4 linked regions of the Pelodiscus sinensis genome follow. The protein of the gene in region 4 interacts with the protein of the main gene of each other region in a pairwise test. Links are inferred from orthologs where the notes say so. Each region holds a gene or a part of one and is shown on either strand. Other genes may lie near its edges.

The links.
Region 1: the proteins of SH3GLB1 (region 4) and SYNGR3 interact in binary tests that used the Homo sapiens proteins (3 or more experiments, as listed by UniProt). The link is inferred for Pelodiscus sinensis from reciprocal best matches to the Homo sapiens genes SH3GLB1 and SYNGR3.
Region 2: the proteins of SH3GLB1 (region 4) and SYP interact in binary tests that used the Homo sapiens proteins (3 or more experiments, as listed by UniProt). The link is inferred for Pelodiscus sinensis from reciprocal best matches to the Homo sapiens genes SH3GLB1 and SYP.
Region 3: the proteins of SH3GLB1 (region 4) and TPD52L2 interact in binary tests that used the Homo sapiens proteins (3 or more experiments, as listed by UniProt). The two-hybrid records come from large-scale screens. The link is inferred for Pelodiscus sinensis from reciprocal best matches to the Homo sapiens genes SH3GLB1 and TPD52L2.

The regions. Positions count from the first base shown.
Region 1 is NC_134726.1:37,696,676-37,705,008, forward strand, and holds the start of SYNGR3 (synaptogyrin-3), read left to right. Parts: upstream 1-5,110; 5' UTR 5,111-5,332; coding exon 5,333-5,431; intron 5,432-8,333. UniProt on the Homo sapiens protein: May play a role in regulated exocytosis. May indirectly regulate the activity of the plasma membrane dopamine transporter SLC6A3 and thereby regulate dopamine transport back from the synaptic cleft into the presynaptic terminal.
Region 2 is NW_027466045.1:74,757-82,722, reverse strand, and holds the start of SYP (synaptophysin), read left to right. Parts: upstream 1-4,621; 5' UTR 4,622-4,708; coding exon 4,709-4,726; intron 4,727-6,637; coding exon 6,638-6,703; intron 6,704-7,966.
Region 3 is NC_134728.1:3,879,977-3,887,755, forward strand, and holds the start of TPD52L2 (tumor protein D54), read left to right. Parts: upstream 1-4,597; 5' UTR 4,598-4,734; intron 4,735-5,855; 5' UTR 5,856-5,964; coding exon 5,965-6,046; intron 6,047-7,779. Other genes in the region: ABHD16B, read left to right, coding at 2,835-4,181.
Region 4 is NC_134719.1:31,007,149-31,014,816, reverse strand, and holds the start of SH3GLB1 (endophilin-B1), read right to left. Parts: upstream 3,231-7,668; 5' UTR 3,051-3,230; coding exon 2,979-3,050; intron 1-2,978. UniProt on the Homo sapiens protein: May be required for normal outer mitochondrial membrane dynamics. Required for coatomer-mediated retrograde transport in certain cells. May recruit other proteins to membranes with high curvature. May promote membrane fusion.

The sequences.
Region 1 (8,333 bases), on a different chromosome or scaffold from region 4:
ATTTGAACTAAGGGTTTTATCTCGGAATCGCACTTCTCTACCGTGTGTAGATGCAGGCAATTACTTCAGGCTAGTCAGTTTCCAAAATGGCAACCGGCCAGGAATATGCTAATCAAGAGCGGGATATTTAAATCCTCCGCTTCCTTAGCAATTTCGGTCGCCCTCATTAGCCTCCCTAGTTCGAACTAGGAGGCTAGTGTAGACGTACCCTGATCTCAAACAAAGAAGAGAGAAAGAAACCCCCCTTTTTCCCGGTTTGAAATTCCTATCTGCATTTTTATTGGCTGACTGCCCAAACCCCCTCCCTAGGTGCATCTCCAGTTGCTTAATCCTTTCCTCTCTCTTCAGGTAAGTCAGAGTCTCCTTAGAAGCTCCTATTTATGACACCTCCCATCCTCCCTAAGGGGCACCCGAGGAGTGGCAGGGTCGAGGCTGGGCAGTCCCAGATTTCGGGTTGCCAGGTGGTTTCAACAAAAATCCTGGACACACTTGACGTTACATCACAATCTACAGTGCGTCTTATTCAGAAAATACCGGACGTTGATATTTTCTCATTGATATTTTCTCAATTTGTTTCCTGAACAGAAAGCTCAAATACTGGACTGACTGTCTGGTTCAAAACCGGACCCCTGGTAACCCTACCCAGATTGGGGAAGGGGAGTTGCGCCCAGCCAGCCTCTTTCACCTGCCTGGGGGTCCTGTCTCTTTTCTGTATGGTTTAATGAGAAGCAATCCTATTCCAGGCACATCTCCTTTTTCTGGCACAACCAAACCCTGACCTTTCTTTAAGTTAGGACAACAGGAAGCTGTGTGCCGCATTTTGTGGCTCTAGCTCTGACTGTTTAGGAGGACTTCTTGAACAGATGGACAGACAGACAAATTCTCTTAAATATATAGTAGACAAAGATAATTATCAGGGCAGAATGCCATTTGGGGGACAGTCTTCGGTCATATTAAAAGCTATTCTAGTATTGATCTCACCCATTTGTGACTGCTCGCATCACTATACTGAGGGTAGTGGATCGTAAGTGTACATTCGTAAATAAGAGCTACATTGTGTGAACATACAAATTGTTAACAAATGTAAAATAGTAAAATAAGGAAAGTTACATCACCAGAAAGCAACCTCCAGATGAAAATCTCAATCTTCCAGCACACCTTCCGATTCTGCAAGCACCGCTCCCTCATCTAGCTGCAAACAAAAACGGCAACCTTCCTTACCTCTCACCTACATCCGTGAAAATGCCTCTTAAACTATCGACCCAGCACTGAATGCAAATATAAACCTAGTCAGCATTCACTTGAGTAGTCTCTCATTAATGGCTAACTAAATGCATTGATTTTCATTTACTCAGTGGAAAGTGTGAAAACGTAGGGAGTATCTGATCTAAGATAAAGGAATGGCTACTTTGCACAGTGTATAAAAAGGGTAGCTTGCAACACCCCCACCCCCATGTGTACAATATGTCATATAAACACATTGTCACAAGGCATACTCACTGGTGTGGTGCTTCCTCGTGGCTGCATCTGAGGAATCGGATTTCCTCAGGTCTGACACTCCCTTGTATCATGTGTTCACTTCACAGCCTCTCTCTCTCTGTGACTCTGCAGGCTTTCTCTTTCTAACTCAGCCCTCCCCCTAGGTAACTATACAATCCACACACACACCCTTTCCAGGGTATCAAAGTCCCTTCACACCAGCTGTCTGGTTGCCATCTCCCATAATCCTGTGCCACTTAGTGACTGGTAGAAGAACCCAGGCCTGCCCACTACTCCTGGTTCCAGCCCTGGGACTTTAAAATCAGCAGCCATGTCTGCACAATCTCTAAGCCCTTTTTCTCTTTCGCTGGGCTGCTTCCTGATCCACCTTCAACAGGGTTTCCTCTACACCTTCCTGGGTAAATCCCCTCTAGACGTCTCAAATGCTGGGTCTAAATTAGCTATAACCACTCATGAGAGAGGTCTTGGAGTCACTGTGGATCGTTCTCTGAAAGCCTCCACTCCATGTGCAGCAGCAGTCAAAAAAGCAATCAGAATGTTAGGAATCATTGTGAGGTGCATGTAGTAGGAGATTTCTGCTTGGAGTTTATTTGCTGAGGCCTTAACTGTTCATTCCTCTGTTCTGAATGCTTGTGTGCATGGCGTTAGCTATAGGTCAGCGACCTTCATTGGCACTCCAAGTGTGGATTTTTTATTATGAATTTCCTTGTTTTCTCATTGCACCCAGTAAATTCTGCAGTAAGAGAAAGGACAAAGGGAGAAATGCTGTGAAACAACAAGACTACCATGTTTCCAGATAACGCTGTGTGTACAGTATAGCTTGCCATCTGCCTGGCTCTTATCAACCGCTTTCACGGCAGATGCAGCCTTAATTGTGGGACTGCTAATACACTCTCTGAGTGACTGATGTGTCAATTAAAATGTGTGTTTAGGTCTGTCTTCATCTTTGACTCTGTGTGCATGTGTTGTATGCATTACTGGATATGCACGTCAAACAATAAAGGGTTTTATTTTGCAAACAGGGCTACTGTGTGGGAGTGGTGGAGTGTGGCTTTTCGGTGGTATATTGTAGTCAGTGCTAGAGCAAGAAATGTATTGAAACTCAACAGATCAAGTCACACAGGGCTTGGCCTGTAAAGCACTGAGTGTCGTCCCTTCCCACTGAAGTCAGATGCAATCTTTGACCACAACCAATCGGCCTAGTGTCCTAGAAGCAAAAGGCTCCGGAGTGTCTGACAGATCTTCCTGAGCCGTCTTCCACCTTCTCCCTTTGGCACTTGTCCTGGATCTTTGCCTTTTGAGGTTTCTGGGTACCGGATCCTTTCCCCACTGAAGTTAATGGGAGTTAGGGGGGAGGGATAGCTCAGTGGTTTGAGCCTTGGCCTGCTAAACCTAGGGTTGTGAGTTCTATCCTTATAGAGACCATTTAGGGATTTGGGGCAAAAATTCATCAGGGATGGTACTTGGTCCTGCTATAAAGGCAGGGGACTGGACTTGATGACCTTTCAAGGTCCCTTCCAGTTCTAGGAGATAGGCAATCTCCATTATTATTATTATGACTCTTAAGTGAAGCAGCATCAGACCCTACATTCATACATGTCACTGAATGCATAGGGTTGAGATTGGGATTTCCAAAAGCACTCAAGTGATTTAGGAGCACACAACTCCCATGGAAAGCAGTGTGTTCCTAAATCCCTTGCACCCATTTGAGTATCCCCACCTGTGGTGACATTGAAAATAACGATCCTGCCTGGCCAGTCTGCAGGCTCTGGGTTGGGATTATAATCCTCACCCCTCTAGGCACTTTGCTGACTATTTCTGTACGAGTGGAGTGACACATCCAGCTAAAGCAGAAGTGATAGGTGCTCTCCCAACATTCCCTTAATAGCCGTTTATTTTTTACATAGTAAAATGTGATTTTCATTGTGCCGGTGACATTGAGGAATGAAAGGCTGAATCCTGCTCTTCCTGCTGAGTGTCAGAAATAGATCTGGAAAGACGATGACTCACCTGTAATTGAGAAAAGTGAATGGCATCAGAATGGTATTTAAAAGTTAGCTTTTTCTGACTCCATCTGCCAGGAAAAGGGTGTGGATTAATACAAAGGCCCAGGTTGGATAGGTGGGGCTGGCATAGAACACAGGTAATGCTTTGCACTATTATGGTATTTTGTACACAAGGGTCTCAAAGCATTTCTCATATACCTGCATGTTGTGGGTAGATCAGTAGTATTACCCACATTTCACTGGCTGGGAAACTGAGGCACAGAGAGGTGATGTGGGTTGCCCAGGATCAGAAGATGAGTCAGCCACAGAACCCTAGGGTTCCTGACCACAAATGTATTCAGGTCAAAAATGCAGGTGGACTCCTCTTGGTTACTTTTGCTGCTTCTGGCCCAAGCCAAGTGATGATGTCAGAGTTGTCATGGCATCGGTATCTATGGAACCGAAATCGTCATCATCACCGTGAAAGGAAAACTAAATAAGGATGTGGCGCTTCCTGGGAGAAACTCCCTTTGGAATCAATGGGGGTTCCCCTCCACAGGGCCTGTACCCGATTGCTTTTTTCTTCTTCCTCCTTTCATGGAGGGGAGTAGCTGAGGGAAGGAGAAGAGGTTGCTCCCTCCAGCCTAACAGAATCTGTGGGTGGCAGGATGTTGTTTCTCAATTCCTGCAGGAAGAAAGCACAAGCTACAGTCCAACTGCCTTTCACTTCCTATTTTTAGGCCAAATAACAGGTACACGGTAGTCTAGTGACTAGCTCCCATGCCTCTAGCAAAGACACAGGGTTCTACTGGTCAAAAGCCAGCAAATGCACCCGTCACTACTCCAGGGCTGACACCACCACCTTTTGCTTTGCATCTGCTCCCCTTAGATATAAAACAAGGGTCCCGCCTCTTTGGATGGGGTCTTTCACTTAATGGCAGGGGTGGGAGGATGAGGAATACCTTCTCCCAGCATAGGCTACATCCTTGCTCCTTAGATTCCTGTCTTCCCTTCTTTTCCGCCGGCCACCCGCTGCAACTGGGGTCAGGCGGCTGTCTAGTCAGGGGTAGCTCTGTGGGAGGCTCTCCTGTCTGAGCTGCCTGAGAGAGGGAGGACAGATGCTTGGGCTGGAGCTGCAGTTGTGTAGGACTGGGCCCCTGTGGGGGAGAGGGGGAGAAGGTGGGGGGAGCGTTCAAGAAACCAGGAAGCATATTTGCAAGGGGATGGGCTGAGTGTGTGGGGGTGGGGGGTGCTGCTTTTCCCTACCTGCAAGGTTACTTTTTTGCCCCTCTGCCTCGCCCCCCCCCCCCCCCGTGCATCTCCTAAACTAGCCTAACTGCCCTTTCAAGGGGGGGGCGTAGCCCCCCTGCAGTAAGGGGAGGCAGAAAAGCAGCAGGCTATTTGCAGGGCATGCAGCCTGAAGCACCCAGAACACCAAACAGCCTCCTATGCAAAGCGCAATGCCGGAGCCGGCGTACTCAGGCAAGACAAGGTGTGAACAAAAATCGAAAGCGATCCGGGTGCAAGGAGGATGCACCTGTATGCTCACCCAGCCTTTTCGCCTCTTCCCTCCCCCCCCCGCCCTTCCTCCATGGTACCGCCCACTCCCTAACACACAGACGAAACCAGACGAGCCCACGCGGCCAGGAACAGGGGGTCAGCGGCAGCGAGGCGGGCTCCGGCTGCACCAGCCGCGCCAGGGGGCTTGTGCGCGAGACGCGGGCACCCGGGCGGGCAGGCAGCGGCGCGAGCCTCCCCCACTCCCTGCCGGCGCGCGCCCGCTGGGGCGCTGCTGCTGCTGCACAGCCCGGAGCCCGAGAGGCGACGCCGCAGCCCGCCTGGGGAAGATGGAAGGAGCGTCCTTCGGCGCGGGCCGGGCCGGGGGGGCCATTGACCCGGTGGATTTCCTCAAGCAGCCTCAGGCCATTCTCCGGATAGTGTCCTGGGTAAGGCAGCGCGGCGGCGTTTGCAGCGGGCATGGCTCGGGGCGGTCCCTGCTGGGGGGGGGCTGCTCCCCTTCCTTGCCCCCTCCAGCCTTGCCATGCAACGGGGGAGGGGGGAGCATTCGCCAGACATACCTGGGGGCGCGCGGCTGCGGGGTGGTTTGCATTTGGGGCGGGTGGCTTGTTTTATTTCGGCCATGCAAGAGGGAGAGGGAATGGGCGCAGCACTGGGGGGAAGGGGGGGGGGCTAAACCATTTTCTCTGCCCAGTGGGGGCTGTCATTCCGTCCAAATGACAGGAGCCATAGCCCCAACTGCTGGGAGGGGGGGCTGCATTATGGTGATTATTTGCAGAGTGGAAAGACCACCTCTGCCCCCCTGGGGGGGTGGAAGTCTTTGCTTCCTCCAAAAAGGGAGGGCATTTTCAGGGCTTTATTTTGCCACTGGAGAGGGGTCATTTTTCGCGGTCTCTTGTCTTTTCTGATGCTCAAACAGATGGGAGGGGGAGCAGGAAAATCCGGTGGAAATAGGTGGCCAGGAGACATTTTTCTTCTAGACTTCACCATCCAGCCCTACCGAGATCCCTGTCCTTAATGCAAAATGATAGAAGGGTTGGCTGGCTGGCTGGCTGGGGTTTATTTTAATTTTATTTTCAATTCCTGTGGCTGCGCCGAAAGCGTAAGACTGAATCCGTTTTCCGGGTGCCTGCTTTAGGGTGGCTTTGATCTTTGGTGTTCTGTGGGCAGTGACATGGAACGCTATGTAAGGAGCTTTGCCTCCGTAGATTAGGCCGACAGATGCAAGGGTTAAGGCCCACGCTCCACCCATAACGCGCCTGGTTAGCCTCGGGTTTTATGTGCTGAGACCTGCAGGTCTGTGCTGACAGCTCTTTGGTGAGTTGGGAGCTTCATGCCTTCTCCCACAAGACCTGAGCCAAAAGCCCACATCACAAAAATCACCACTAACGGGGTGCTCATGCGGGTCCCCTGGCCAACCCCCTGAGCAGGCAGCCTTCGCAGAAAGGCCAGGGATTGAGCGGGGCGGTGGACTCCTTTTCCCAGTTAGAGGCAGAGAGGGTTCCTTTAGGTTCAGGATGAGATGCAGAGGTGTGCGGGGGAAGTTTGCATTGCTGTTCCCCTGACTGTTCTGAGGATTTCCAACTTGTTCTGTGGCTTGAGGCCTTCAGACTCCAGAGCAGTCACTGTGTCACCTTTTCAGGGCAGGAAATGCACTGTCAAAGCTATTTTAAGTGCAGTGGCCAATTAAAAACCTCCTTCTTTCTACCTTTCACTGCCCCCTCTCCCCAGCTTTATTCTTCATTCTCGAGGCTTTACTACCAGTTGCCCCTGTCCTGGGCCCTGATCCAGCAAAGCATTTAAGTGTACGCTTATCTTTAAGTACAAGAATAAAACTGTTGAAGTCAGGTGCTTGAGGGCTTTGCTGGGTCAGGCCTATAACTCATTCGCCCGTGCTTTGAGAACAGGACGGGCACGATTATTTGCGGGGCCTAGTTCAGATATATGGAGCAGGAGTGTGACCTATTTTTGTGTGTACACACACACACACACACACACACACCTATTTTTGTGTACACACACACACACACACACACACACACACACACACACACACACACACACACAAATAGGCTATGTTCCACTAGCTAGAGATAGATATAGTAAGATATCTGGTGGTGCAAAAAAATATGTTCTTTTTTTAAATGGCAAAACGTCATGAACCCCACTCCAAATTGTCAATACGGCCGTTAGCCCGCTGTGCGTGAGGCCTGAGTGTATCTCTGTATTTTATACTGCAGCGCGCGCGGGATGGACTTTGCGATCGCGCTGGGTTTAAAATGGACGTACGTATTTCGACCTATATTGTGTATGTCCTCAGGCACGTCTTACCCCTACAAAACTAATGTAGGTCCATAGGTATTTTTAATATAATTTGAATTTTTAATCGTGGGTGTTTAAATATGTAATAAAATAAATGGCCTCCATCTCCAGTACATGAGAATAGTGCCTAGGGCAGGGCCAAACATAAAGTGCGGGGCCACATGTGCGGGAGCTGACTGCCCACGTCTCACGCCGGCCCTGTTGGAGAGAGCATCTGAATGGGATACAGTGTGCACAAAACTGGGCCCAAAATGTCAAATCCAGTTGTGGTTCTTTTCTTCGGATGGACGCAGTGCGTGGCCGTGACGTGCGGCTTATGAAGCATGGAAGATGGGTGCCTCTGTGAAACAGGAACAGAATCCACACGATGGCATTAAAAACCAGCTCAGGAAAAGTTCCCACGCATGCTTAGTGGATGAGTGGTCAAGAAGGAATCTTTGGGGAATTTAAAACCACAAGGGACTGGTCCCAAAGTGAGAATAAAGGGCCTGAAATTGCCCGTTCTCCCACATCCGATCACTTCTATGCCTGTAAGTAGCCCCATGTTCTTTTAGTCTGTTTGTGTGCTTACATTTAAGCACACGCACAGGCCCGTATGCAGGAGTTTCTTTGGGGTGAGGGGGGGTGCTTTTTTTTTTTTAAATGTGGACAGCGAGGGTGCAAAACCCCCCCACCGTGGTCCCCCAAATATGCGTGCTCTGGCCAGCTGGGGGAAAGCGGGAGCCGTGTGATGCCTGAGCCTCCCTCCCCAATACTCCAACCGGCCGGGGGAAGGCTGGGGGCTGATTCTCCCCGTCCCAGAGGGAGACCCAGCCCTACCTCCAGCCTCGCTCTTGCGGGAGAGGAATCAGCCCCAACTTCCCCCGGCTGGCCAGAGCATGCTTACTTGAGGCTCCAAGGTGGGGCGTTCGCACCCTTTGCACACACCCCCCTCCATGTATGGGCCTGAAGCATAAGTTGTTTGCAGGATCAAGGGGCCTGATCCAAAGCCCATACAGTCAGAGGGGC
Region 2 (7,966 bases), on a different chromosome or scaffold from region 4:
AAAACCTCCTCTTTCCTGTCCACACGCCTTTTCCCGAAAGAGCTCTTTCAGAAAAAGGCTTCTTCTTCATAGAAAGTGGTTTACCAATGTCAGAAAGACCCCCTGCATTCTTTCGACTTTCTGTCAAAAGAACGCAATTGCAGTGTGGATGTAAGTGTAGTTTTTCTGGAACAACTCTGCAGTGTAGACATACCGGCTGTGTCTACATTGGCACCCTTTTCCGGAAAAGGGATGCTAATGAGACAAATCAGAATTGCAAATGGCTGCCGCTTTTTTCCGGCTCGGGGCTTTGCCGGAGAAAAGCGCCAGTCTAGACGGGATCTTTCGGAAAATAAAGCCTTTTCCAGAAGATCCCTGATTCCTGATTTTAAGAGGAATAAGGGATCTTCCGGAAAAGGCTTTATTTTCCGAAAGATCCCGTCTAGACTGGCGCTTTTCTCCAGCAAAGCCCCGAGCCGGAAAAAAGCGGCAGCCATGTTCATGCAAATGCCACGGGGGATATTTAAATCCCCTGCGGCATTTGCAATTCCGAAGTGTCTCATTAGCATCCCTTTTCCGGAAAAGGGTGCCAATGTAGACACAGCCCCCCTGTCACGCTGCTGACTCATAGTTAGCATGTGGTTCACTCTGACCCCTAGATCCCTTTCTGCAGGACTCCTTCCCAGACAGTCGCATCCCGTTCTGTGTGTGGGACACGGATTGTTCCTTCCTAAGTGGAGCACTTTGCATTAAACTTCATCCTATTGACCTCCGACCATTTCTCCAGTTTGCCCAGATTAATTTGAATTATAATCCTCTCCTCCAAACCACTGGCAACCCCTCCCAGTTTTGTATCATCTTCAAACTTAATAAGCGTCCGCTCTGTGCCAATATCTAAATCATTGGTGAAGATATCGAACAGAACTGGTCCCAAAACAGACCCCTGGGGACCCCCCTTGTTCTGCCCTGCCAGCAGGATTATGAACCGTTAATAACGACTCTCTGAGAACGGTTCTCCAGCCCGTTATGCCCCCGCCTTAGAGTAGCCCCATTTAGGTTGTATTGCCCGAGTTTATTGCTAAGAAGGTCGGACTGTGTGAAATGCGTTGCTAAAGTCTGGGTATCCCACGGCCACCGCGGCTCCCTTCTCCACAGGACTCGCGATCCCATTGAAGAAAGCGATCGGATTGGGGAGCTGGCTTGAAAGCTGCTTCCTGCCTGCCCCTGCGATGCTGCCTCTGATATGGAGGCAGTAGGGGGGAGGTGCATGTCGTTCTCTGGATGAACCGATAAGCGGCTTGCTGGGCAATTGTTTAAAAGGCCGATCGCTAACATCCCCAGTGGGACTGCGGAGGGGGAGGGGCTCCGGAGATGAGGGGAAACAGGCTGGATGGGAGGGGCTGGGGCTGAAGTGGGGCAGGAGATGGGTGAAGAGGAGCCAGTCGGGGGAAGGGCTTGGCTCCCCCAAATCCCTCCCACCTCGCTGCTGCCTGGGGTCTGGGGGTGCCGAGGGACGGGGCTGGGACCTGGCAAACTCGGGTCTGGATCATTTCCTCCGGGGGGGGGGGGCAGGGACACGGGTGAACCCCGCCTCCCAGCCCTTCGCCCTGCGGATGGGGGCAAGGTGGGGTCAGAGTGGAGGGCAGGCGGCACTTTGGGGTCAGGGCAGAGGCCTCGCAAGGGGGCATGTATGGGAGGGGCACAGGGTGTTACCTGGACTGGATGGACCTGTGGGTCAGATCTGGGGGGCAGAGGGATGGTCCCGGGCTGAGGGGCGTGAATCTGACCCCTCCCCTCTCTCCCCAGCCAGAGAGGCCTGGCAGCTGAACAGGCTGGCTGAGGTGACCCCTGGGGGCAGCTGTGGGGTGGGGGCTCCATGGTGATTCCTCCCTGAGCCACTGAGGGAAAAGCAAGAGAGCTAGGAGCCAGGACGCCTGGGTTCTCTCCCCAGCTCTGGCAAGGCAGTGGGGTCTAGTAGTTAGATTGAGGAGGACTGGGAGGTAGCTCACAGGCCGGGCTCACCTGGGGCTGAGATGCAGCCACCTCTGGAGCAGGGCAGCTGGGAACAGCCACACAGAACGCCACACGGGGACGCCTCCTGCAAACTGCAGGGCCCCAAACTGGGAGCCAGCCCAGACACCTGGGTTCACATCCTGTCCGTTGGGGGGCGGAGTGGGGCTCGGGTTCACTTCCAATCCGCAGGGCAGCACCCCCCACCTATCCCGAAGGGGGAGCTGGGTAGGGGTCACATCTGGGGTTTTTTGTCCAGTGCCCTCTCCAGCTGCCAGGTTTTTCTTCCCCCTCCCTTATGGCTCTGGTCCTTGGGGTTTGACCCGGACGCCTGGGTTCACACTCCCCTTCTCCCCCCCACCCCCTTTCCTTCTGTTCTTCCCTTCCCCATTCGTGCCTCCTCCATATTCTTGCTGCTTTTCACCTCCCTCCTGCCTTCCCCTCGTCTGCTCCCCTTCCCTGTGCACTCACCCTTCTTCCATTCACTCAGTCTGTCCTTTGCCCGCCCGTCCATCCCTTGGGATGCTCTGTCCCTCAGCTGGGCTCCTGCCTCCCTCCCTCCATCCCCCACCATCCATCTCACACCCACCGTCCTTCCTTTCTAGGGGCCGAGTGGGCCACACGCTAAAAACGAATCAAAAGGGCGACGCTGTTGCAAAAACAGCAAACGTGATCCTGGGAGGCACCGACAGGAGTGTGGGGAGCAAGACAGGAGGAGTCGTTCTCCCGCTCTGCTCTGCTCTGCGCTGGTCAGGCCTCCGCTGGGGGATTGTGGCCAGTTCTGGGCACCACGCTTCAAGGAAGATGGGGAGACATTGGAGAAGGTCCAGAGAAGAGCAGCAAGACTGATGGCCGGTCTAGGGAACAGGAGCTGGGCGGGCAGACAAAGAACGGGGCTTGGGCAGTTTGGAAAGGAGAGGACTGAGGGGGACATGAGTGAGGCTTTTCAGGTATCTAAAAGGGTGTCACAAGGAGGAGGGAGAAAACTTGTTCCCCTGGCCTCTGAGGACGGGACAAGGAGCAAGGGGCTTGAATTGCAGCCAGGGGCGTTTAAGTTGGACCTTAGGAAAATCCTCCTGCCTGGCAGGGGGTGACACGCTGGGATCCATTGCACAGGGAGGTTGTGGAATCCCCATCTCTGGAGACATTGAAGAGCAGGTTGGATAAACGTCCATCAGGGATGGGCTAGACCATGCGGGGTCCTGCCATGGGGTCAGGGACTGGACTCGATGACCCTCGCGGTCCCTTCCAGTTCCGGGATCCTACGATTCCGTCCAGCCCTTGGGACGTTCTGCCCCTCCGCTGGGTCCCTCCCTCCCTCCCTCCGTGCACCCCCACCCCCACCCTCCATCCATCCACCCTCCAGCCAGCCCTTGGGATGCTCTGCCCCTCCGCTGGGTCCCTCCCTCTGTGCACCCCCACCCCCACCCTCCATCCATCCATCCACCCACCCTCCAGCCAGCCCTTGGGATGCTCTGCCCCTCCGCTGGGTCCCTCCCTCCGTGCACCCCCACCCCCACCCTCCAGCCAGCCCTTGGGATGCTCTGCCCCTCCGCTGGGTCCCTCCCTCCGTGGACCCCCACCCCCACCCTCCAGCCAGCCCTTGGGATGCTCTGCCCCGCTGCTGGGTTCCTCCCTCCCTCCCTCCGTGCACCCCCACCCTCCATCCATCCATCTCCACACCCATCGTCCACCCACCCACCCTCCAGCCAGCCCTTGGGATGCTCTGCCTCGCTGCTGGGTTCCTGCCTTCCGTTCATTTTTCCCTCCATTCATCTCTGCCCGTGTCCCTCTCTTCTCTCCTCCCTGCACTTTCCCACCACCCAGCTCTTTGGTCTTTGCCCTGATCTGCTGGTTTTCTCCTTCCTCCCCCTAGTCCATCTTCCTGCGTCCCTGGGCCCTGGCTTTTGGGGTCCTGGCTCTGCCCCCCAACAGGGGGGCTGGGATGCACTTGGCCACGGGCTGATCTACCTCCTGCCCTCCACACCTGCAGGGAGGGGGCGGGGCCAAGGGTGCCTCCTAGCTGAAGCCCTGCCCCCCAATGGGGGGGGGGGAGAGTTGCAGGGCTATGTCCCTCATGAATTCTATTCTCTGTTCTCCATGGGACTGGGGGGCTGCACCGGGGGAGAAACTGGAGTGTCAGAGAACCCCCCCCCCCCCGGTAGCGGGATGGGGGAAGTACCTAGAGGCGCAGTACAGAAGTTGCATCAACCCAGATGCCAGCAATAGAACCCAGGACTCCTGGCTCCCAGCTCCACTCCAACCACTAGCCCCCACTCCCCTCCCAGACCCACGGAGGGAAGCCAGGTTCTCAGCCCCGCCCCTCCGCCTCTAGCCACCACTCCCCTCCCCAAACCAGGGAGAGAACCCAGGAATCCTGGGTCCCCTCCCTCCTACTCTAACCACTAGTCTCCCCTCCCTTCCCAGACCCAGGGAGAGAACCTAGGGATCCTGGGTCCCCTCCCTCTCACTCTAACCACTAGTCTCCCCTCCCTGGCCCAGGGAGAGAACCGAGGAGTCCTGGCTCCCGACCCACCTCACCCCCGACACCGGGATTCGAACCCGCCACCCTCCATCCCCCGCTCCCTTTGCCGGGGAGTGACAGTCCCCCCTCGTGACGTCACCTCTAGCTCTTCCCTCCTGCGGCTGACCCCCGCCGGAGGCTGTTCCGGATCTAGCCCTGCCCCCCTCCCTCCGCCTGTCTCCAGACAGCTCCAAGATGGAAGTCCTCAATCAGGTACGCACCTGGCTAGCTCAGCACCATAGACAGCGATCGGGGCGAGCGGGGATTCCAGAGGGGGGGGGGGGCACGGGACTGTCGGCTCCCCCCCCAGGCAAACCCCCCCGCACCTCCCCTGGGCTGGTGTTTTGCAGCAGCAGCTGGAGCGGTTACGTCCAAAGGCAGCGCCCTGCGAATCCGGGGGGAGGGGGCAAGCGGGGGGGGGCAGGGTATTTGCTGCAGACGGGGGGCAAATCTGAGCTGGGTGCGTGGGGGGCACAGAGGGGCTGGATGGGACGCGCTGAGGTTATCGGGGGTAGCATCTTCCCCGGCTGCAGATGGGGGGGGGGGCTGAAAATGATTCGGGGGGGGCAGGTTGGGTGTAGGTAGCTTGCAGTTGGGTGGGAATTGCAGGCTGTTTGGTGGGGGGGGCGCTAGGGGACAGGGTAGCTCCCTGCTGCAAGGGGGGGCGAGTCCAAGATGGGTGCGTGGTGGGCACAGATGGGGGAGGATGCAGGGATCTGACATTAGGGGGGGCCCAGCTTGAATGCAGGCAGACTGCAGTGGGTCTGGGATTGCAGGGCATGGGGGGGTTCTGGAGCTCGGCTATTCCCGTGCTGCAGAAGGGGGGGCGATGGGCTGGCCGTGTGGAGGGAGGCTCGGCGGTGGCGCTGGGGGGATGTTACCAGATATGTTGGAGTGGGGGGGAGGATGACACCCCCCTCCCTTTGCAGCAGGGGTGGGGGCGGGGAAGGAAGATGGCTGACCTGCTGCAGTGAATTCATTGCCTGCCGTAGCGCTCGGGTGCGGGGGGGGGGGGTTGTGGGGCTCACGCAGGGAGGGGGTGAGACTATTCTCCCACCAGCTGCTGCTGCAGAGCCGGGCTTGGGGGGGCAGGGAACCCTTGGGTGCAGGATGTCTTGGCTGGAGGAATAGGAGGGTGCAGACCGGGGGGGTCGCGGGGGGGTTTAACTCGGGATAGCGAGTTTGGGGGTGAACATAGGGCCACAGGGGTTGGGTGGATACAACCTGGGGGGCAGAATATTCCCCCAGCTGCAGCAGGGGGGGGGAATGCAGCAAAGACCCCCCCATTGGGCAGGCGGGGTTGAGGGATTCAGGTGGGGGGGCTGCTTATGAATCGAGGTTAACATGGACCTGCCCCCAGCAGGGGGGGCCGGCCTGGGGGGGCTGAGCGCACTGAGGCCTTTCCCGTATGGTTATTCCCCGTAGGGAGCCGTGGGAGGAACCGTCTTGAGATGGGTTTTCTCCCCAGCATGGGCAGTGGGGTCTGGTGGCCAGGACTCCTGGGTTCTCTCCCTGGCTCGGGGAGGGCAGTGGGGACTAGCGGTTAGAGTGGGGGGGGGCTGGGAGCCAGGACTCCTGGGTTCTCTCCCTGGCTCAGGGAGGGCAGTGGGGACTAGCGGTTAGAGTGGGGGGGGCTGGGAGCCAGGACTCCTGGGTTCTCTCCCTGGCTCGGGGAGGGCAGTGGGGACTAGCGGTTAGAGTGGGGGGAGCTGGGAGCCAGGACTCCTGGGTTCTCTCCCTGGCTCGGGGAGGGCAGTGGGGACTAGTGGTTGGGGGGGGCTGGGAGCCAGGGCTCCTGGGTTCTCTCCCTGGCTCAGGGAGGGCAGTGGGGACTAGCGGTTAGAGTGGGGGGGGGCTGGGAGCCAGGACTCCTGGGTTCTCTCCCTGGCTCGGGGAGGGCAGTGGGGACTAGTGGTTTGGGGGGGGCTGGGAGCCAGGACTCCTGGGTTCTCTCCCTGGCTCGGGGAGGGCAGTGGGGACTAGTGGTTGGGGGGGCTGGGAGCCAGGGCTCCTGAGTTCTCTCCCTGGTCGGGGGGGGGCGGGCTGGGCGTAAGGGAGATGGCAGCTGTTTTAATATCCGTCCCGCCCTGCCCCCTCTGTCTCCGCCTCCGCCTGGGTTCCCAGCTCGTGGCAGGGGGGCAGTTCCGGACCCTGAAGGAGCCGCTGGGGTTTCTGAAGCTGCTGGAATGGGTGAGTGCCCCGTGGCCGGCCCCAGGCCCTGGGGCGGAGGACTCCTGTTTGCACGGCCTCTGAGCTGGCCTAGGCCTGGGGAAAGGCCCTGTGCCCCGCCCCACCTGAGGAGCAGGATGGTGAGGGAGGGGCTGTGGGGTGTGGGAAGGGGACGGATGAACAAGGGGTTATCACAGCCTGCTTGCCCGGCACTCCTGGGGAGATCAGACAGCGAGACACTTCCAGGCCCCTGCTGCTAGTTCTGGAGCACTTCCAGACTCCCCTCCTCCTCCTGCTGGTTCTAGAGCACTTCCAGACTCCCCTCCTCCTCCTGCTGGTTCTAGAGCACTTCCAGACTCCCCTCCTCCTCCTGCTGGTTCTAGAGCACTTCCAGACTCCCCTCCTCCTGCTGCTGGTTCTAGAGCACTTCCAGACTCCCTCCTCCTCCTGCTGGTTCTAGAGCACTTCCAGACTCCCCTCCTCCTCCTGCTGGTTCTAGAGCACTTCCAGATTCCCCTCCTCCTCCTGCTGGTTCTAGAGCACTTCCAGACTCCCTCCTCCTCCTGCTGGTTCTAGAGCACTTCCAGACTCCCCTCCTCCTCCTGCTGGTTCTAGAGCACTTCCAGACTCCCCTCCCCCTCCTGCTGGTTCTAGAGCACTTCCAGACTCCCCTCCCCCTCCTGCTGGTTCTAGAGCTCTTCCAGACTCCCCTCCCCCTCCTGCTGGTTCTAGAGCACTTCCAGACTCCCCTCCCCCTCCTGCTGGTTCTAGAGCACTTCCAGACTTCCCTCCCCCTCCTGCTGGTTCTGGAGCAATTCCAGACTCCCTTCCCCCTCCTACTGGTTCTGGAGCACTTCCAGACTCCCCTCCCCCTCCTACTGGTTCTGGAGCAATTCCAGACTCCCCCCCCCCGCTGGTTCTGGAGCACTTCCAGACTCCTCTCCCCCTCCTGCTGGCTCTGGAGCAATTCCAGACTCCCCTCCCCCTCCTGCTGGTTCTAGAGCACTTCCAGACTCCATTCCCCCTCCTACTGGTTCTGGAGCAATTCCAGACTCCCCCCCGCTGGTTCTGGAGCACTTCCAGACTCCCCTCCCCCTCCTGCTGGTTCTGGAGCAATTCCAGTCTCCTCCCATCCTGCTGGTTCTGGAGCAGTTCCAGACCCCCCCCCCTCCTGCTGGTTCTGGAGTGATTCCAGATCGATTAGCGGGACATTTTTGTCACGTTCTAGACCCATGTACCCAGCTGGTTGTGGAAGGGTTCCAGAGCCCTCAGCCCTGCGGGTTC
Region 3 (7,779 bases), on a different chromosome or scaffold from region 4:
GAAAAGAGGATCTAGCTCACCTGATGCACAAGGGGGATTTTCCAGCCAGTAAAAGCAGTGACTTCCCAAAGATCAAAGTGGCGAACATATGACCCGGGGGCTGGATCAGACCCCTGGCTTGTCTGGATCCGGCCCCTGAGGCTCCTGTACCCTCCCTCTTGCCCACACTCTAAGCTCACTTCCTGGCAGCCCCCTCCCACACACTGAACCTTTTGACCCCACTCCAGAGCCTCGAGGGACCCACAAAATCTACTAGTCCCCCCCCCCCCCCGGGGCTCTGGTGTGCAAGGGGAACGTGGAGAGGGTCCTTCTGTTTCTCAGTCAGGGCCACGTCAATGATTTTTTTTTGCATCTCACTTTAGTGCAGCCCCCAATGGATTTTTCTACGGCCCCCAAAAGTTCCCCAGCCCTGCAATAGATCCAGCTGGTGTTACCTCTGCTCCACCTCTTGCCCCAAGGTGACACCGTTCTAAGCATCACGCCTAGAACCAGTAATGAGGAGGAGTCCCTCCTCCGTGGGGAACTAAATTGAGTTCCCGGGTGGATGAGCAATTAAAAACCCAGCTCCGGTTTGCTCACTGTGATCTTTAACCGTATCGTAGAATCGAACAGTGGGAGTTGGTACTGGGTTCCAGGAACATTTTTCCTCCCCCTCACTAGCCATTGTCATCACCGCCCCAGAGAGGGCTGCATGTCAGTGGTGTTGCTTGAACATAGGGCCTGGTCTTGGGAGATCTGGGGGTGATCTGCGAGTCTGAGGACCTAGTTCTTTATCTGAGCACAAATAACAAGGTAGCTTCCCAAAGTGGCCTTTTCTTTTCTTCCCTGAGCTGTCTCTTTGCCTGCAGACGGACATCACAGCAGCGGGCACACGAGCAGTTATGTGGAGGGGGGAACAATAAACGTTTTTTTAAATCCACTTTTAATTTCACTTTTGTTTGCCTGTTGAGTCTAAGAACATCTTCCTTACCGAGGCACAGAGGTGTACGGATTCTCTGCGGCAGCACAACAGAGATCACAGAAGGTGGATGCTGGCTTATGCTCGACAGGGTTATTAGAGGTCAAAGAAAAGGGTATGGTTCATAAACATAACGGGCTTGCTTTGTTGTTAAAACGTTTCAGATCTGCCCTGGGAGCAGTATGGGTACATCTATACTACATGGCTCTGTCGACGGAGCCATGTAGATTTGTTTGTTCGGCAAAGGGAAATGAAGCCGCGATTTAAATAATTGCGGCTTCAATTAAATTTAAATGGCTGCCACGCTCTGCCGATCAGCTGTTTGTTGGCAGATTGGGGCAGTCTGGACGCTCCCCTGCTGACATGAAAGCCCTTTATCGACCTCCCTGGTAAACCTCATCCTATGAGGCATAACGGGGAGGTCGATAAAGGGCTTGCAGGTCAGCGCAGGAGCGTCCAGACTAGTGCGCTGAGCCGACAAACAGCTGATCGGCTGTTTGTCGGCTCAGCGTGGCAGCCATTTAAATTTCCCAGGCTTCATTTCCCTTTGCCAATCAGCCTAATCTACATGGGTCCATCGATGGAGCCATGTAGTTTAGACACACCCTATGTGAGGAGAGAAGGGAGGTGCCCGCAGGTATGAGGGGCAGTTTTGTATTTTATTGTGATAGCTAGAATGGGTTGAACCTCTCAAGTCTGGCACCCTTGGGACCTGACCAGCGCCAAACTAGAGAATTTGCTGGACCACGGGAGTTGAATAATGTCTAATAAGGATGTTTAAGTATCGACTAATTGACTAATCGAATAGTTGAAGCATTTTGCATGGACTATTTGATTAGTCGAGAGGGCGCCTCTGCCTTTGAAGTATAGCAACAGCCCTAGGGCGAAAGCGCTATATGGAGCCTGACGCCAGGCTCCTCGCGGCGTTTCAAAGGGGCAGTGCGGCACAGAGCACAGGATCAGCGGGAGAGTCCCCAGCTGATCCCAGGCTCCACGTGGTGTTGCTGCTTTGAAACGCCGCATGCAGCTTGGGGACACCCCAGCTGGCCCCAGGCTGCATGCAGCATTTCAAAGTGGCAGCGTCGCATGGAGCCTGGGGTATGGCCCTGGGCTCCACGCAGCGCTGCTGCTTTGAAGTACCCCCTCCGCTTCCCCCCATTGCTACTTCTATCTGATAGAGGCAGGCAGGTGGGGGGAGGGAGGAAGCGACTTATTGACTAGTCCTTCACACGCCTATTGTCTAGCAGCATTACCAACACTTCCACTGCTTACTGGGCTCTGAGAAGACACTTCGGGGTCAATTAGAGCTAAACAACAACACAGAACACTGAAAGCCAGGACTGGTGGCTGTTAACGAACTTTATGGGACCACAGGAAACTTGGCTACACCCACGATAAGTGGACATCCGGCTCACTAACATCATGCCGGACCACAGATGTTGCCAGACCAGAAGGTGCCGGACTAGAGAGGTTCAACCTGCAGTTACTTCAGACGACCCCTACTGGTGTTCAGTGATAACTGCACCCTGGTTTGCCACTTGCTGGCTGAGCCTCACCCTCAGTGAAGGGCATGCTCATAATGGAGGTCGACCCCACTCATTATTACGCTGCCTTGCTTACCTGGCCTATGGAGACCCTGGGGGAAGTGCCTCTGCATTTCTCAGGGGCATCGCTGGGCTTACAGAGGAGGCCTGTCATGGCGGAGGAGCTGTAACCCAGCTATTTAACGTGGAGCTGCCGCTGACGTCTGCTAGGGAATCTCTCCAATGGAGGCCCGTGGCGGGAACTGGCCCTGTGAGCGCTAGCTTTCGTGGCGCCCCTTTCCCTGTGCCCTTGCTATTTCTTTCTTGCATGGACAAGGCCCTCCGCTCCCCCTATGTGTGTGATATGCTTCACCAAAGCTCTTGGCCATGTGTTCAAAACATATCTGATGGCCAATTACAACTTTGAGTTCAGGAGCTGGCCCGTGGACTTCCGATGGGATGAGGCCGGCTGCCCAGGGAGGAGCCCCGGCCACAAGGCTGCGTCCCAGACCACCGCCCAAGAGGCTCTGCTGAGATCAGCATCGCACGGAAGGCCTACCACTGCTCAGTGTAGCTGTCTCCGCAAGATGAGGCAGTTGCCTAGCCGGCTGGTCTGCTACGTCATGGCTCACTCCTTAGGCCGGTGGCTGCTTTATCCTGGCTCCCTGTACGTCATGCAGAAAGCCCTGCTGCCTTTACTGGTGAAGGGGCAGGCTCGCCTGCTGGAGGAGTTTCACGGGAAGCGGGCCAAGCTGATGGCGTGCGACGGGAACGAGATCGACACCATGTTTGTGGACAGGAGGAAGAGCGCAGGAGTGGAGGAGGAGCAGCGAGGGAAGCGGCTGGTGATCTGCTGCGAGGGGAATGTGGGTTTCTACGAAGTGGGCTGTCTCTCCACCCCGCTGGAGGCCGGCTACTCGGTCCTGGGGTGGAACCACCCGGGCTATGCTGGAAGCACGGGCCTGCCCTTCCCGGAGAATGACGCTAACGCGATGGATGTGGTGATTCAGTATGCCACCTGCCGCCTGGGTTTCCCGGTGCAAGACATCATCCTCTATGGCTGGTCCCTGGGTGGCTACACAGCCACCTGGGCTGCCAAGACTTACCCAGAGCTGGGGGCCCTGATGCTGGACGCCACCTTCGACGACCTGCTCCCCCTGGCCCTGAAGGTCATGCCTAAGAGCTGGACCAAGCTGGTGGTCCAGACGGTGCGGCAGCACTTCAACCTCAACGTGGCCGAGCAGCTCTGCAGCTACCCGGGGCCAGTGCTGCTGATCCGGAGGACCCACGATGAAGTCACCACCACCCACGTCCGCACCTCGGACCAGCTCGCTGACATCCGGTCCAACAGAAGCAACGAGCTGCTCCTTCAGCTGCTGAGGCACCGCTATCCTGAGGTCCTGTCCTGCGAAGGGGAGGCGGCGGTCCGTCACTGGCTGCGAGCCGTCAGCCCCACGCAGGAAGAGGCCGTCTGCAGGCGCTTCGAGGTGGAGGACGACTGGTGTGTCAGCAAGTTGCAAAGCTACAAATCCTGCCTCGGAGGTGAAGACAGCTTCCCCTGGAGGGTCGGGAAGGACTTGACCCCCAGGAGAAAGCAGCAGCTGGCCTTGTTTCTGGCCAGGAAGCACATGAAAAATGTGGAGGCCACACACTGGTCTCTCTTACTGCCCGATGAGTTCCAGATGCCCTGGAAGCTATAGCTGGGGAAGGGTAGGACGGTTACCCCAGGGGGGAGAGAGAGAGGTTGGACTTAACAAGCCGGGGTTTCCCTCTTCAGTACGCTCGTGGTGTGTGTTCCCAATCTGAGCGCCCAGTAAAGATGAAGTGATGAGCTCTGCAAGCACCAAGGAGCATTATTTCACCCCGGGGGCAGTGGATGGATGGAAATTAAAGTGGTTGAAAGATTCGTGACGTTGAAAATGATTTGCAAATACCACTGGGTCCCAGGAAGGGGGGCAGGCCAGGGAAGGGCAGAAGCTGGCTGGTTTTTCACCCCGTCCACCTGGCCATCTTGTGTCCCCCCCCCAGCTGCTGCCCAGGGCATTGTTGAGCTGTGACTCAGGGACCTGAGAGGTGGGATTGTGACATCACTGTGCTGAGAGGTGGGACAATAGCGGTGAAACGTCCCACCCACTGTGTCCTCCATCTCCCGAACCCCTGCTCCCGCTGGGCATGCGGGCTCCTGGGAGAGGTACATCACCCCACCCTTCTTCTTCGCCCCACCTTCTCATTTGCATTTTGCACTCTCATTGGGTGAGTCAACGGCCTGGACATGGCAGGCAGACCAGCTGCTCATAGGGTATGTCTAAACTACATGCCTCTGGCGACAGAGGCATGTAAATTAGACATACCGACATAGTCAGTGAAGTGGGGATTTATATATCCCCCACTTCATTAGAATAAAAATGGTCGCCACGTTGTGCCGGCTCAGCTGTTTGTCGGCACGAACCGGCAGTCAAGACGGGGATCGGTCGACAACGAAAGCCTTTGCCGACCAATCCTGTAAACCTCGTTTCATGAGGCATAAGGGATCGGTCAGCAAAGGCTTTCCTTGTCGACCGATCCCCGTCTTGACTGCCGGTTCGTGCCGACAAACAGCTGAGCTGGCACAATGTGGTGGCCATTTTTATTCTAATGAAGAGGGGGATATTTAAATCCCCACTTCATTGACTATGTCAGTATATCTAATTTACATGCCTCTGTCGCCAGAGACATGTAGTCTAGACATACCCTTAAACGTGGATTTCACAGGGGTGAGGGGTGTAAGGACGCCCAAGATGGTGGGACTGGTTCTCGGTTCATCGTCACATTGCAGCCGAAGCACCCGATTTGGTAATTAGCTAGTCAGTGTTTCGTATAGTGGGAAAGAGACGGGCTCGTCCTCATACAGGGGCCCGCCATTGGCTTCGTGCCTCCTGGAGTTTTGGCGCGGGACAGCGTGCGGCATTCACGGGGGGTGGGGGTGGGGAAGCTTTCAGAAGCCATCTGTGGGGTCAGTTTCAGTGCTCAGCACTGGGCTGTGAGCAGTGACCGAGGGGGATTAGAGACTCTCTCCGGAAGGAGAGGCATAGACAATCTCTCTGGGGAGAGATGGGGAGATCCGGGACCACTGGGAAGGCTCTCCAGGGAGGGCTGAAGGTTTCAGGGACATGGGGGGAGGATTTAACTTTTTAAGACCAGGCCGGGCGAAATCAGCCAGGCACGACCAGGCAGCCCCTACAGGGTGTGAGGGAGGGTGTGAGGTTAGGAGGCACCTTACAGGAGCTGCTGCTGTCACAAAGGGCATGGTGAGTCTCCATGGGGCTGGCTGGCATGGAGGTGGGGTAGAGGCCGCAGGGACAGAGCAGCCTGCCACTTCTTTGCTTTCACTACAGGAACCTTGTGCTGCAGCCCGGGCGTGGGAACAGGCAGCAGGCGACTCCTTAGAGCCCCCAACCCATCTTGGTGCCTCTCCTGGGGGAAATCCGGGTGCAAGAGCTTCTCATGTGGGGGATCACGCCCCTGCCCCCACTGGGCAGCAGCCGGCAGCTGCGTTCGCTTGCCACCAGCAGGAGCAGCAGAGGCGGTAAGTCCCCAGAGAGGCTGGGGCGTTAGATGGAAGAGGCCAGGGCCATGGAGCAGAAGGGAAGCACCACTGGAAGGGAGGGTAACAAGAGCGTGACTTGCGTCAGAGCTGTGATTTGGGGTTCCTGGCAGGAGGGCAGGGTGTGGGGAAGTCTGCGGGTGAAAGGCAGAGTGGCCTAGGGGACAGTGCACAGCAGGCCACAGTGGCAGGGACCAGTGTTCCCTGTCAGCCGTGCTCTTGTGCGGCCGCTCAGGAGAAATTCCAGTGCTGCCCAGCTGATTTGCAGAGTTCTCACAGCTAGGTTTGTGTTTCTCCAGGTGGTGCACATTCACACATTCCTCAGTGCACATAACAAAACTTATTCCGTTCATATATATATATATATATATGGAAAAACATCCGCGCATGGATGGAAAAGATTAGAGGGAACATTGACAGGGACTGCTCCTAGTGCTGGGTAAGTTACTTAGGGCCAAGGTCTGTGGCCCACATAAGGACTGCAGCAGGTCCGGAATGTGGCAGACAGGATCTGCGCAGATCTACCAGCCAAACCGTCCCCTGGGGGAAAGAGACAGAGATATTAGTGGTGGCTGGGGACTGGCTCTGTTGCCTTCATAAGGAGAGTGCATTCTCCCCAACATGCAACCACTTCCCCTGGACTGTGCGTGAGTGAGAAGATACGGCCATTCCCCATTGTGTGCCTCAGTTTCCCCATCCCAGGTGGGGCTAATAACCCTTCCTCCCCACCTCACAATGATGGTTTAGGAATGTGGAGTTAATTGTCAGATGCTGGGGAAAGGTGCAGTTCTAGGCAACAGTGGTATGGCCCTGTCAGCTGACACAACTTGCTTTATTTGCTTGTATGAGTGCAGGCCAGGATGTCTTTACAGGGACCTTGTTGGGTCCTCACAGAGGGGAAGGGAAGGGGGCGAGTGGTGCTTGGTGGGCATTGCTGGTGGGTCAGGATTTTCTCTCACCGAGCCCAGTTCATTTCTGATTCCAAGGGACCCCACAGACTAGAGGAGTCTGAGCAAAGATCAGCCCCTGAGAAATGACAGACTGGATGTGTTTGTGCCCACCGGGGGTGGATTCAGGGTTTGTCCCAGGTTCCGGAAGCAGCTGGTGCCAACAGGAGCCTGAGCCCTGGGCAAACCCTGGCATCTGATTTCAGAGACCTGAAGCAGATGGCAGAAACAGCCGCAGCGCACACGTACTCCTAGGGCTGCGGGTTTCATGTGCTGCCGCCAGAAACCAAACAGATCTCCCATCTGACGAGGAAGGAAGTTTGGTGGCCACACCCGGGCTGAGCTGGACAGGCACAAGGTGTGCTGCCCTGCAGTGCCCCCAGCTTTCTCTAGACGTGCAGCCGGCCCATGGGACTCAGGCTAGCATCCCCCTGCCTCTCTGAAAGCCACAGGATGCTCCCTTTGCCCTTCAAGCCTTGCCTCTCTCCATTCCCAGCTGCACGCAGCACGGTCGGGAAGCGCTGCGGGTGCATGTGTGTGCCGGGGATTAGCTATGTGGAAGGGGAGAGTACACACCGCTCCCGTGGGGGCGTAGGAGTAAATCTACCAATTATACATCCTCTGCTCAGGGCCCCATGCGCAGGGAACTGAAAGACAACAGGGCCCAGACCTGATGCAAATGTCACAGGCTGCTGTGGAATAAAGAAAAGGCAACAAGCCCACACGGATGACAAATGCCACAGCATTCAAAGGGGAACTCAGGGACGG
Region 4 (7,668 bases):
TTCCTGATCTATGGAAACAGATTCCCTCCGAATCATTCCATAGAATACTAGCTGGGGAGAGAAGTGTACAGTGACAGGGAAGATAAGCACTGTGCAGCGACATCTCCTGAAGATAAAGCAGCCACCACTGAATATGAATACAAGGTAAAATTTTCATAAGCACCCAAATAAAGAGGGCTTGGGTTAGGGTGACCATCCATCCTGTTTTTAACAGGACAGTCCCCTATTTAGGCCCTCTTGCAGGTGTCCCACTTTTTTTTTTTTTTAAAAGGTGGGCTGTCAAGCATTTTCTGCTCCAGCACACCCCTGCTGGTCAGTCAGCATCAGAACAGTCACAGCAACCTTCTGCTTGTGGCTGGCAGGTGAATGCAGTCAGGCAGGCAGGGGCCAGCAGGTGGTGCGCTTAAGCAGGGTGCAGAGGCAGAAAGACAGGAAGCCAGTAGAAGGAACCTGTGTGTGATAGATGGTGAGGGAGTGAGTGAGGGGTGTATCACCCTTCCCCATGTGCAACCTAAAGCAGGGTTTCTCAAGTGGGGAGGAGGAGGAGTCTGCCAGTTAAGCCCCAATCTCAGGCATCTGCTGCAGGACTGAAATCTTGATCTCTGATGACCCCTCTTGCACTGAATTAGCCCAAGCCCTAATCTGCAATGCCCCAGTGAATTCTCAGCACCTCCCCAAACTGAAGCCACAATCCTTGCCTCCTTCCACTCCCCAAACCATGAGTGGTAGGGCTAAAGCTGAGAGCAGCAGGATTGAGTCCTGCATGCCCAGTGCTCCCTGTAAGGGGAGAAGCATCCAGAACCTGTTGGCAGAATTGTGGGGCTCTCTAGCACACACAGTACAGTACCTGGGAGAGCTCCACAGCTCTCTTCCCCCACCCCCACCAAGTTAGAGAAGAAACCCAATCCACAGGGCAGCTAGTGGTGCTCCCTCTTCTGCTGCTGCAGGGGGCTCAATCTGCCCCTCAGCTCCCAGCCCCCTTTGTTCACATAGCCAGTAAGAGTGGGCAAGTGGCAGCTGGTCAGGGAGAGCAGATGTGGGCCTCAGGGTAGGTAGAGAGGTGGTCACAAGTCGCAGGGCTGAAGATGCCATCCCCAGTACACCACTTCCCCCGGGCTGAAAATCCAATCCCTGGTGTCTCTTCTCCTTCCCACCAATGCAACTGGGATCTCTGGGGCTCAATGTCAAAGCCCTGGCAGCCCCTACAAGGCTGAAAGCAGGAACCGAGAGGGTGAAGCCCCAAACCCTGGTCCTGTTTGCACTGAAGCCAGGAGTGGCAGGGCTGAATCCCAGATTCCTGGTGCTCCCCCATGCGGCAGAAGCTCCCAAACCCATAGGCAGAGGTGGGAGGTGCTGGGGATGTAGTCCCCAAGTTTCAGTGGAAGTTAGTACTGAAGACAGACTCATCGCTTCTCTGCCCCCACCATTTGGCCAGTTTGGAGGCAGGAAGCCAAAGCTGGGTAGTGTGAGGCAGCTGCTCCTGTGGCTGGTACAATGGCGCAGTCAGCCACGTGTTCCCGTCCCTCCTGCTACAGAGGGTTAAAGCTGCTCCTCAGCTCCCTGTCCTCTTTTCTCACACAGTTGGTATGAACCATGGGGAAGGGAGGGGAGAGAAGGGAAGACCGGGCTCCGTGCCTGGTCAGTGTCCCATATTCACAATAGAGAAATGTGGTCACCCTAGCTTGGGTGCTCTTGAAAAGATAATGCACCTTCTCGTGGAACTATTTATTCATGAACAAATTCATAGCTAGACTTCTCTGCATCCCAATTTTTAAGCAAGTCCAAAACCTGAAAGCAACTCACCAAAAATATACCCTGCCCTCCGCCCCACATGAGCTGCTACACTCGCCTTGGGAATAGATTTGCTGTAAGAATGGTTACCTAATACAAGAGAAGTAAGACCCTCTTCCCCCTGTCCCCCTACCACAGGGCTAAGGAACAGGAGCCAGTTACAAAGTGCCCTTAGCATTAAAAAGTTGAGAGCAGTTTGGAGACAGAAGACTACTAAGAAAGTTTTTAAAGCAATATCAAAATCTACCAGTATCTCCTTAGAGAGAGATTGAATCATTAAAAAAAGATGTCCAGCTAGGTTCATAAGTCATGCCAGCTGCTAAAGGTACACTACCCATGTTAGTTTGTTTCACATGATACTTTTTTCTCATTGGTGGACATTTATCTTAATGTTTCAGACCCCTGCCCTAAACAGTTAAGGGGTCACATGTGAATACATTGTACAACATTGTGTAAGCCTCAGTTGCTCTATCTAGATAGAGGACTTACTGCCCTGCCCCATTGCCACAGCATCCCCACTCCTCCTTCCCTCTCATGCCTGCAGGTTGGGGTTCCCCAACTCCCTGAAGCGCCCAAGGGCAGGGTGTGAAGGCACATGGCCCAAACAGAAAGTTCTTCCAGCCCTAGGACTCTATGATGAAAATAAAAGGGTGCACCCTAGCGCACAGCTCTGGCACGAATGGGCTGTGCTGTGCAAAAGCCAGGAGGGAGCTGTTTAAAGAGCTGGCAGGGCCGGTTACCATAGGCCAGTACCTGTAAGAAATGGAGGCCGCTTTCACCCCTGGGCGCGAGAGAGGGCTCACACCTGGGGCGCGAGAGGAAGGCAAGAGACGCTCGTTTCGAACCAGCGTCTCAATACGGAACTGGCACCAGCCAGGGCTCATTGTACGCCCGGAGTCACAACCCCACCCCCGCTCGGGACAGCCCTGCCCCAGCTCACAGAGCGCCCCGCTGGGGTTACCGCGGGCCGGGGTGCGACCCCCCCCCCCCCACCGTGCCGGGACGTGGGGCCCAGCTGAGGGGCCGGTTGAGGAGCCGGGCTGAGCGCGAGCGCGGACCAACGCCCCAGCCGCCGGGCCCCGCAGCGGCCACCCAGCACCAGGCCGCAGCCTCCAGCGCCGCTGCCACAGGCAGTGCCCGGGCCCGCCCCGCGGCGGCGGGTGTCGGCGCGGCCCGGCTGCCGGTACCTGCACTGCGCGGCTCAGGAAGGTGCCCGCGTCGGCGGCGAATTTCTTCACATTGAAATCCATAACGTTCATCCTCGGGAGCCGCCGCCGCGGCCGGGAAAGGGGGCGGGGGCGAGTCCCGACACCAGCAGCCGCGGCCTTTCCTTGGGGGAGGCGACGGGAGCTCCCGGCCCGGCTCACAGGAACCCGGCAGCCGATAGGGCGCAGGGCGCGGCGTCAGGCCCAAGGCGCCGCCCGCGTTACCGCCCCCTGGCCCGAGGGGCTGGGGCACGGCGACGCCTTAAAGGGGCCGCCCCCGCCTCAGGGATCCGCGGCGGGGGGAGCAGAATCTGTCCTGCCTGGGACGCGCCTCAGCAGGGCTGGGACTAGGCGCTATAAGCAATCCTGGCAGGAGGGTCTGGTCCTTCGGAGGCGCACACAGTGGCGGGGCTAGCCTTAGTGGCGCTCAGCTTCATTTGGGGGGCTCCCCCCTGGGACCCAGCCAAGAAAAAGAACATCGCCCTGCCCCTCACATTTTTCATTCCTTTTTTCCTTCACCCTCCTCCTATTTACACAAGTAACAAGGAGTAGATGAAAATAAAGTGAGGTATCTTGATTGTTTGGGTTGTTTTTCACAGGCCAATTGAAAAGTGCTGAGGATCTCAGCAGACCACTTAATGATCTTTTCAAATATTGTTTGTACCATTAGCTAATTATGGTAAAATGTGTTGGCTAAGAGCCCTTTATGGGGGGGGGGGACCCAAAAATCTTTCCTACGTCCACCTGAATGGAGTTATCAGACCTACTTTGAGGACTTCTGGTCTAGGTGAAAGCTTGTATTTCCATTAAGCCAACATGAAAAATGTGAAAAGAATAAAATGCATAGATGATGAATGAATGGAAAAATAAAAGTTAACTTCCTCTGAAGAAACTTATTCAATTTGAAAAAAATGTTGTTAGCTTCCTTTCTATGCTTTTTCTTTACAAAATCATCAATTAAGTCATAATATTTTGTAGAAAGGCACTTTCAATTGTCGATATTGCTGAAATTGTCAATTTTTTTCCCTGCTCTCTTCTTCCTCACACAGGCCACTCTGTAGAGGGACTTAGCCCCTTCCTCCCCATAGAGTGGCTTCCCCCTATGCAGGAGATGGGAGGGGAGGTGTTGCCGGACCAAGTGCTGAACTGCCCAGCCCTGGGGGGCCTCATGTCGTTGGGGGGCCCCATGCCAGGATATGGTATGTTTCATTGTAAATCTTCCCCTGGGCTCACAGATGGACATTAAAAACAGCCTGTGGCACCTTAGAGACTAACAAAAGAATATATAGAATGTTGAGTTTCTGTGGGTAAAACCCACTTCATCAGATGAATTAGAGTGGAAATATATATAGTGTATATATTCTGTTACTTCCACTTTAATTCATCTGATGAAGTGGGTTTTATATATATAACGGAAGAAGACTGTCAATTATTTATAGGGCCCTAAATGAGACTAATTAAGTGGAACGGATGTGTCCCATTGATAGCTTGTGATGTGAAAATGTATATGTTAGAGGCAAGAGAAATTGTCTTTGTCATTATTTCAGTTTTCTACTCATCACCCATCCAGAGCTCATCCAAGATTTCACCACTTCAGATGGCTTGCAGAGTGCTCAAATGTGTTCTACTCAATATGAGAGGCAAAGGGGGTGAGATAATATTGTTTAATGGACCAACTTTTGTTGACAAGTTTTCAAGCTCCACAAAGGCATATATTTTCTGAATGGGAGAGATTAACCTCTCCCTTAGCCCTTTGTAAAATCCACTGTTTTATATTGGTCAAATGTTGTTATTTAACTTCCAAGAGAGTAGTAGCAGGATAATTCATGACAAGGTAAATTGCAAAAAGGCCATGAGAAGGGACTGTTCTCTGCAGTCTTTTGATATAAATAAGGAAATTTAGACTTATAGACATACACCAAAAAAGTAGCTATCAATACACTCTAGGTGATAGCATGTAATTTTAAAATACAACATTAAAGTCCACATTGTATAACTAAAGTGCAGTAATTAATGCAAATAAAACTCACTATCAATAAATCAAGACAATTATAAGCACAAATTATTCTCCCATTTCAAAACATTTCCACTGTTTAAAACACCTTCCTCCCACCCACTCCTGGCAATATTCAAATACTTGGAGAAAAATGAAATGTACTCATACAGATTAGTTAGGTATTGACCACTATGTGATATGACCTGTGGCATAAATAGCAATTTGGTATTTTTTTTAGTTGGAAAATAACTTTGGAAACATGCTGTATTTAAGGCACTTACCCATCCACAGCAACAATAATTAGCTAAACTGTTTTGCCTTTCCTTTACATATGGACAGAGAGATTCTAGGGCAGTAGGACAGGAAGCAAAATCCAAGAGGAAGTAACCAAAACAATCAACTTAGTCTTGTTTACATTCTTCAATAGTGGAAAGCAGGGGAGGGGAAAACAAACAAACAAAAAAATTCTGCAAAACAGTTATTATTCATGACAGGGTCTGAAAGCTGTTGTGTAGTATACATGCAATTGCTCTGCTTGAATGAGATTTGCCATTCTTTACCTTTTTCTTTAGCAAGTTTAAATATCTTTGTGTTATACTGCTTTCAAATTTTTTTTTCTACTGTTGATTTAGCTTCAGTTTGCTGGAAGTATTTTTAATAATGTAATGTGTTCTTGGTTCATGATTCTCTTTCAACCTCTGTAGACTATAATATCTTGAAAGTTGAGGAACCATGGTTCTAAACCTTGTGCTGTTACCCTGAGCCTTTCTGAAAGGCAGTTAGACTAAAGTTCTCAATCTTACAGATCAAGCCACTTATATCTCTACATATGTATTAAATAGCAAATTTTATGTACCAGTGTTTGAAAGATGAGATTTAAACACCCACGCTATGGCTACACTACAAGCTTTTTCCAGAAGAGGAAATGCAAATGGAGTGCTCATTTGCATATGTCATGCTCTCATTTGCATTTTCTCTTCAATCCTTTTTGTGGAAGAGGTTTTTGCACAAAAAAGCACTGTGTAGATGGCACCTTTTTCCGCAAGAGCCCTTCTTCCTCATTTTTTTATCTTATATTTTTTTATCTGAAGAAGGGCTCTTGCACAAAAGGTGCCACCTACACAGCGCTTTTTTGTGCAAAAAGCTCTTCCACAAAAAGGATAGGAAGAGAAAATTTAAATGAGAGTGCAACATATGCAAATGAGTGCTCCATTTGTATTTCCTTTTCCGGAAAAAGCTTGTAGTGTAGCTGTAGCCTCAGTTAACATGGAAGTTGAAAGTAACAGATCTATGGATAGCAATCACGAAGGCTACAATTTAGTTATGAAAAACTTTAAAAAACCCAACAAATAGTTCTGCAGCATCTTAGGGTATGTCTACACTAGCTCATTAATTTGAGCTAGGTAGGCAAATCAAGCAACCGGAGTTGCAAATGAAGCCCGGGATTGGTAGTACTGTCAGCTCCCACTGATTCTGGAACTGCTGCTCAAGCAGTCCCCGTGGCTAGCCATGTTGCCTGCTGCTCAGGCAGTCCCTAGGTATAGTGCCTGGATCCACCCATGCAATGGCCATTGTAGCTGGGCCTGGGTCTGCTCCTAGCAGCTCCAGTGTGCCTGGATGCTGGGCCACCCAAGCAACTGGCTGCAGATCCACTGCAGCAGGGGCCAGTGTGGCTAGCCTCTGGACCACCTGATCAGCAATCCCTGAGGCCATCTGCTTGAGCATCACCTACCGCTCCAGAAATCATAGAAGTTGTGGAAAGTCATGGAATCCATGATCTCTGTGACAGATACGGAGCCTTAGCAAGTGCTACACTGATTGAAACTAGCCTCTTGTAATCAGCTCAGTATTCAAGTTATCTCCTCCAACTCTAACACCTGACTTCTCCAAGAAGAAACTGCATTTCTTGTCTCATTCCAGGGAAGGGCAGATTGAGATTTATTGGGGTCTGCACACAAAGAACATTTTATAAAAAAGAGAAGAAATCCAGTGATATGCGCAAAGATCAAACTCTGTACATTAACATAGTATATTAGTATAGGCCTTGTGCCTAAGTGTATCTCTGCACATATATGAAGTCCTGTTGAAATCAGGGCTCTGAATGGGCCTGCGATCCACCTGCACAGAGCTCAATTCAGGCTCAAAGATTTAAAGAAGAACAAATAACTTTAGATTATTATGCCTGTTAGTATAAAGGAAAACAATTCCAGTATAAATGGAGAACATTAGGAAGAACTTTTTGAGGCTTTCATAAACTTAAAGTGATGGCATCTGTTTAAAGTTTGAAAAACACAAAGGACTAGATTAAAAATCGAATGCTTCTAGAAACAGATTTATTTGCATTTAAAGCAAGTGTCATGGATGGCATACTTAAGGTGCTACTTTAAGGTCTACATTTTGGTGTTCAAAAACCAGCAAAGCACAGAGAAGTGTGCATAGATAGAAAGAGGTTTGAGTGTCAGTAGTGTATAAAGGAAAATGCCTTCAGGTATAAGATGGTAGGCTTAATGGTTGGTGTGTCTCCTAGTGATTAATACATTGGACTGGGACTCAAGAAACTTGGGTCTATTCTTGGTTCTGACACTGACCTCCTGGGTGACCATGGGAAAGTCACTTCACCTTTCTTCCTCAGTTTCTGCTGTAAAATGGGGATATAGTTACTAACCTGCTTTGTAA